Sus scrofa: one gene and its partner. The protein of the gene in region 1 binds, or shares a complex with, the protein of each later gene. Links are inferred from orthologs where the notes say so. Each region holds a gene or a part of one and is shown on either strand. Other genes may lie near its edges. The genes, in order: TTF2 and AKAP17A.

What was found.
Region 2: TTF2 (region 1) and AKAP17A share a complex: the UniProt entries of both Homo sapiens proteins name them as parts of the spliceosome. The link is inferred for Sus scrofa from reciprocal best matches to the Homo sapiens genes TTF2 and AKAP17A.

Annotation. Positions count from the first base shown.
Region 1 is NC_010446.5:103,631,720-103,635,329, forward strand, and holds the end of TTF2 (transcription termination factor 2), read right to left. Parts: intron 3,406-3,610; coding exon 3,331-3,405; intron 1,539-3,330; coding exon 1,394-1,538; 3' UTR 658-1,393; downstream 1-657. UniProt on the Homo sapiens protein: DsDNA-dependent ATPase which acts as a transcription termination factor by coupling ATP hydrolysis with removal of RNA polymerase II from the DNA template. May contribute to mitotic transcription repression. May also be involved in pre-mRNA splicing.
Region 2 is NW_018084901.1:899,292-902,738, forward strand, and holds part of AKAP17A (A-kinase anchor protein 17A), read left to right. Parts: intron 1-106; coding exon 107-255; intron 256-2,648; coding exon 2,649-2,889; intron 2,890-3,447. UniProt on the Homo sapiens protein: Splice factor regulating alternative splice site selection for certain mRNA precursors. Mediates regulation of pre-mRNA splicing in a PKA-dependent manner.

The DNA of each region.
Region 1 (3,610 bases):
ACCCCAGTGCCTCAGTCCCAACTGTGACTGGGCCAGCACGGGCTTTTGTCTTCGAATCCTCATGCAAAGGAGGGCAATCGTTCTATCTAGAAAGAAGTACTATTCTTCCTAGTAGAAATCAGCAGAGGGAGGGTTTTGGACATGACTGCTAATGGGAAGAAGGGAATCTGAAGAGTTTCCCAAGTAAGAGCGTCTCAAGAGTCTGTATGAGTCAGGATACTAACTGCTGTATGAACAACTCCCAAATCTTATAGTTTACAAAAAAAAAAAAAATTTTTCTTGGTCATGTCAGAGTCCAATAGGGTTGAGAAGGGCAGGCTTTGATCTGCTCTCATTCAGGAACTGAGGCTTACCAGTCTACCAAAGGTCCATGGCCAACAGCAGGTGAAGAATCTCTGATCTAGTGGCTTCAAATTCTCTAGGGCCCTGTCGTCTTCCACCAGGGCCTCCGTATGGAGTGGGCCACAGAAGAGGCAACGTGAGTCAGTTGCAAAGTTGTAGATGGCAGATAAGAAGTGACTTACTTCCCTTCTCTCCATATCCCACTGCCTTAGAACTCAGTAACATGGGCCTGGATAACTGCAGTGAAGACTAGGAAATGTGGGCTCTGGTGGCCAGGAGGGAAGGGAAATGGAGGTTAGTGAACACGAAGCATTATCTTGGCTACACGTGTTTACTGGATTATGCCAATGACAATACAAATGCTAAATGATACAAGAACACTAAATGAAGTAATGATGCCAAGTGCTACAGATTAACTGTAAATCTGTAAAAATACAAATACTATAAAAATGATACCAAAGGGAAATTATATGACATAAATGTTACATGATATGATAGTGATACAAGATGATATAATGACAGGAGAGCAAATTCTAAATGATATGATGATACAAATACCAATGACCTATATATCATGTACCAAGCGCCTCCTTGACCTTAGGCCTGAGAGGAGGAACTGCCTAGACGGAAACTACTACAGAGGAATGGCCACAGGGATCCACTTCGGCTCAGCCCGTAGCAATGGTTGGAGCAGACTTGTTGGCAGGAGAGATGGAGATGGGATGGAGCTTGTGTTAGAAAAAGGCAGGAACACTGGCTCCCGCATCAGCTGGGAAGAGGGAGGCGACAGAGGGCTCTCTGTGCTGTACCACTCTCCCAGAGTTGTTTTCCAAATTATCTAACCCTAAAGCATTTTATCTGAAGTAATTTATTGGTTTCTATGTCACTCATTAAATAAGTTGATGCGTTAATAAGTTGAAGCCCAACTGGTTAACAGGGTAAGTTGCCAGTGAAGTGAAATGCCAAGGAGAGCTCAAAGCTTCTTAGTTGTTATGCCCAGACCCTAATACAAACCAACAGTAGCACTATTCTGAGCCCCAGAAACATGAAGTTAGATGCCAAAAAGGATTTTGAGGTCTGCCAAGGTGAGCTTGGTAACAAATTCTCCAGATCCTGATAGGATCTGTTTGGCCAAATCTTTCTTTTTTTCTTGGAGCTGCAAGATCTTCTCTTCCACTGTGCCTTCACAAACAAATCTGAAAAACAGACACGTAAGCCAACAGTCAAAAACCCAAAGCTAAATATCTAATGACATATTCAAATGTCTACCTATGCTTGGGATCTTTTCTTTTTAGGGTTGCACCTGCAGCATATGGAAGTTCCCGGGCTAAGGGGTGGAATCAGAGCTGCAGCTGCTGGCCTACGCCACAGCCACAGAAACGTAGGATCCGAAGTGCATCTGTGACCTACGCCACAGTCTGTGGCAACACTGGATCCTTAACCTACTGAGTGAGGCCAGGGTCAAACCCACATCCTCAAGGAGATTAGGCAGGGTCCTTAACCACTGAGCCACAATGGGAACTCCTATGCTTCTTTTTTTCTTTTTCGGGCCGCACCTGTGGCATATGGAAGTTCCCAGACTAGGGGTTGAATTGGAGCTGGAGCTGTTGGCCTACATCACAGCCACAGCAACGCCAGATCTGAGTTGCGTCTTCGATCTACGCCACAGTTCATGGCAACGCTAGATCCTTAACCCACGGAGCAGGGCCAGGAATCAAACCCACGTCCTTATGGATACTAGTTGGGTTTGTTAGCGCTGAGCCAATGGGAACTCCCAGATTCAGATACTTTATGGGGATGTGGATTTGCAGGCCTGAAGTTTAAGAGACCTTAGAATGGAAAATACAGATTTTGGACTCACTGCAGTAGATGGATTCTTAAGAGAGGTGCATACAAAGTGAGCTGAGAGCTACAGACGGAACAACTGACATAACTGCTTGCTTGGCAAAGTTTGGAATTCACGGATGCCCCCCACCCCACCCCCAGCAAGAGCAGCTTCCGCGGAGCAACAGGGATGAAAGCCAGTTTGTAAAGGGTGAGGAATGAATGGGAAATAAGCAAGAAAAGACAGACGACGATTTCTAACTCTTCAGGAAACTTGGCAACGAAAAGGAAGGGAGAAAAAAGTCCCTGGCTAGGGTGGACTGTATGGTCAAGGGAAGTGTTGTCATTGTTTTTAAAGACAGGAGGGGCCCAAGGAGAGGGACATTCCCCAGAATAACTGGCCTGTGCACTTTAAAAATGTCACTATCCTAAAACACAAAGAGAGTCTGAGATACCGCTGCAGATTAAAGGGGACAAAAGAGTCAACACAACTGAATGCTACACAGGACCTAGAGCATTCTTCTGCTGGAAAGGACATCACCTGGACAAGTGGCAAAGCTGCATAAGATCCACAGATCAGATAACAGTACTGTGTCATTGTTAGCATCTTGGTGTTGGTCATGTTCTCATGGTTATGTAAGAAAATGTCATTGTCAGGGAAATGCCTGTTCTAGCAATTAGAAGGAAAGAAGCATCAGGTCTGCAACTCACTGTCAAATGGTCCAGAAAAAAGCTCACTCACACACACACACACATGTGTCACAGTGTACAAGAATTTTTTGTATTATTCTTGCATTCAAGAACTGTGCAGTATTCTTGTAATAATTCTTACATTCTTTTCTATATGTCTGACATTACGTCAAAATAAAAGTTAAGCAAAAAAAGAGAGGGGGAGAGCGAGAGGGAGAGAAGAGTCATTTCGTGGGCTGCCTTGACTGAGACGAGGCTCGCCCTGTACATAAGCTTCTCTTCTTCTGCAGGGACCAACTCCAAGGTTACCCCCAAACTGCCTGTGTTCCCTCCCTGACTGAGAACCAAGGAGGATGGGACCCATGGGTGCTGTTGCTAAGGTGACCATCAAATATTTTAGATACTGGGAAAATATGACCCAAAGCAGATTTTCACGCAGCAGCACTTGGTTCTCGATGACCGTAACTTACTCACCTGTGTATGACAACATCCTTCTGCTGCCCCACCCGGTAAATTCGGTCAGAAGCTTGATCTTCAAGTGATGGATTCCTGTTGGGAGAGAAGTGAAGTTCAGAGGTGCCGACATCCCAGACCAAGGGTGGGCAAATACCATGGACCCGATCCAGTCCACAGTTTGTCTTTGTATGGTTCACAAGCTAAGAATGGTTGTTTTATATATATATATTTTTTTTTTTTTTTCCTTGTCTTTTTGCCTTTTGAGGGCCGCTCCCGCAGCATATGGAGGTTCCCAGGC
Region 2 (3,447 bases), on another chromosome or scaffold:
GTGCGGGGGGGCCCGGGAGCCCCCTCTCCGAAATGAGTCAGGGGGCATCCACCTCGTGTGCGGAAGGAGCCCTCCAGGTCATTCCACCCTGCGCCCTTCCCTACAGGTTTCTTTCGATTCCACCAAACACCTGAGCGATGCCTCCATCAAGAAGCGGCAGCTGGAGCGGCAGAAACTTCAGGAGCTGGAGCAGCAGCGGGAGGAGCAGAAGCGCCGGGAGAAGGAGGCGGAGGAGAGGCAGAGGGCCGAGGAGAGGTAGGCGCTGGCCGGGTGAGCCGGACCCCTCTGCGTGGGCGGCGGCCTCCGCCCGGTTGCCTGGCCCCGGCCTCCCTCCGAGCCGCCCAGGGCTGAGCAGGGCTCCTGCAGAGACTGGCAGAGCCTTGGCTGCTTTGCAGGGGTTGTGTTTGGGCCGAAGCTGCCGTCCCAAAGAGCAGTAGAGGCCCTGCGGCACGGGCGGGCTCGAAGCAAGTGTCTTTCAGGGCCTTCGGGGGGACTGCGGTTCACAGGCAGCGTCAGGTCCCGTGTCTCCCTGGCCGGGCGGTGTATCTGGGTTGTAAACACGTCTGCCCAGCGAGACTCCCTGGGCTCCAGGAGATAAGGAACAGTCGTCCTTGTCCCGTCACGGCTGCTGTGCCCTGGGTGCTTCTTGGCGTGGGGGTGGGGGTGGGTGGGTGTCAAGGTGTCACGGGCAGGGCTTCTGTCTGGCCGATTTAGGACTTTTGTGGCCGATTCCTTCCCTATCAGCCTCTCCACTTACCTCTTGGCTGAGCCGACTTCACTCGCGGGGCTGTCAGCTTCCTGTTTGTTTTCCCTTCTCCCCGCCGGCAGGAACAGGTGCCGAGGTGTCCTTGCAGTTGGTGGGGAAACCAGGGTCAGGGTCCAGCCCGTGCTGCTGCTCCTGACGCAGCCGGTGGACGTCCCCAGGGGGTCGGCCTGCTGGCCGGGGAGGCTCCGGCCGGGGATCGGGAGCCCGCAGGGAGGCTGGCGTGGGGCCAGCCGAGGGTGTGCGTGCCGCGTGGCTGTCCTCCGGCGGTGGCGGCGGCGCTCACAGGGCTGTTTGCATCTCGACCTGGGCGAGGCTCAGGGACGTCCAGGCCCCCCAGCTCGGGTCCCCAACGGGCCTTGTCCTCGCGTCCCCAAGATGGCCCTTGATCGCAGGCCAGGAATCGCAGACGTTACCCCTCGGCGTTTCCGTCTCCTTCATCAGGGCGTCGTCGAGGTTCGGGTTGTGGCAGTTTGTGCTGTCGGCGTCGTGAGCCCGCCACACGCCCCACGGCGTTTCCAGAAGCAGCTCTGAGGTCCCGTTAAAGACACTTCCCTCGAGCTTGGTGGAGAAACGAGGGCAGGGAATTGGGCCGAGAGTGGTCTTTGAGGACAGAGGGTCAGATGGGTCCCCGAGGTGTGCTGAGGACACGGATTCACAGCTGGTGGCGTGGCCTCTGCTGCCGCCTGGGATGACACTGGCCGAGAGGTGGCAGGGCCGCGAGGCGGAGCCGGGCAGGCCTGGGGAGCCTCCGGGTCTGTCCTCTGTCACGGGTGAGGTGCTGGGTGTTCGGGCTCAGTCTGGATCCGCAGTCAGGCTCCTGGACTTGGCCTTTAGCCACAGTTTAGAGCCGTGGGCGCTCTGGGGCTCTTAGGGGACCCCTGGTGCCAGGGACCATCAGAGATGTGGCCTTCTGGCTGCTGTCACCCTCATTGCTTCCCACGTGAGCCTGGGCCGGCCTTTCCCTCTGTGTGGGGGCTTGGCTGGTTCCGGGGCTCCAGCACCCCTGGCAGCCGTGTGCCCCCATGGCCTCAGAGGGCTCCCCCAGGTGGCATCCTGCCCTGAGCAGCCGGGGGCTCTGCCCCTCCGCCCCCACCCCGCCCTGCAGGTTCCTGGAGAAGTCAAAAGCCCCAGCACTCGGGAGGCAGGCGTACAGTGTGACGCCCCTTGGTCTTCCACACCTTCCCTGGGGTCTCCAGCCATCCTGATGGCCTTCGATCCTCATCTGGGGGACCCCCCCCCAGAAAGGATGGTAGGGTCCAAGCCGGTGTGTGTGGTGTGTAAGCGTGTGGCACAGTCATTGCCTGCAGGTAGTGCCCGTGGTGACCTCGCAGGGTGTCCCCAGGTGGTGTGAGCTGTCCTGCTGTCAGGACCGCTCCCCCTTCTTTAGGGACGGGCCCCAGCAAAGCGGGTCGGGTGTCTGTTACCGTGGTCTGCCTGTTCTACAGCATCCCGCGGCAGGGTCGTGCCATTGGCTCCGTGCTGGCAGAGCCTTCCTGTGGGCACGGTCCCCGGTGGGAACATCTGGGGCAGGGGCGCCCCCGCCCCTGAAACTCGTTTGTGTCCTCTGCAGCCACTCCACTGGGCGGCTGGGCTGTGTGGGGCAGGCAGCGTGTCCTGTGCAGGTGCGGCCCACCAGCGGGGGTGGGCCTTGTTCCAAGCTGCATTTTCCAATGTCTTGTACCCCCTCCCCATGGAGTCCGGGCTGGGCTCGCACTTAGCCAGACTCTGCCCCGCAAGGCGATGGCCCCCGCCCCGCCCCCATGCGCCTCTGCGCTCCTTAACGTCCTTGGACTTGGACGTGGGGGTGAGACGCTGCGACGTCGTCTTTCCCGCGGCGTCCCCGCCGGCTCCGCTGAGGCCCTGGTGCCTGCGTCCCGCACAGGAAGCAGAAGGAGCTGGAGGAGCAGGAGCGGGAGCGGAAGCGGGAGGAGAAGCTGCGCCGGCGTGAGCAGAAGCAGAGAGACCGCGAGCTGCGGCGCAGCCAGAAGAAGCTGGAGAAGCTGCAGGCCGAGGAGCAGCGGAAGCTGCAGGAGAAGATCCGGCTGGAGGAGCGCAAGCTGCTGCTGGCCCAGCGCAACCTGCAGTCCATCCGGCTCATCGCGGAGCTGCTGAGCCGCGCCAAGGTACCTCCTCGGCGCTCCTGCGGGGCTCCCACCCCCGCTGGCTGCTGCAGCACAGCCTGGAGGCGGGAGGGAGCGGCGCCGCGTCCGCGGACCTGAGACCCATGCAGCCTCCGCCCTCTCTTCCTGCATCTGCTGCGTCCTGCATGCTCTCAGTCTCTGCGAGCGGAAGGTCTCCTCCAGTCTCCGCTAGGAGGCTGGGAGGGGCGGGGCCCGCAGAGCGACGCCCTCCCCGGGGCTCCTCCCACTCCGGCTTCAGCTAGGGCTCCGCCAGGTACCCCCGCGGGAGAACAGGCTGAGCCTGGTCCAGGGGCCGCGGCCGCGCTAGCCCCGGGAGGCCAGGGCCTGGCCGCGCGCGCCTTTCCTCCACGGCCGCGAGCCGGGCAGGTCTCAGCGCTGCTGTGCGGACCACTCTCCTGGTTCCTCCCACCCGCTCCTCCCGAAGGCCCGAGCGGTAACTCCTGCGCGCCCGGCCGGGGGCGCGCGGACGGACCTGGCCCCGCACTCCTGGTGCTCAGGCCGGCCGCGTGCCCCGGGAGGTGGGCGCGGGACGACCCTAAC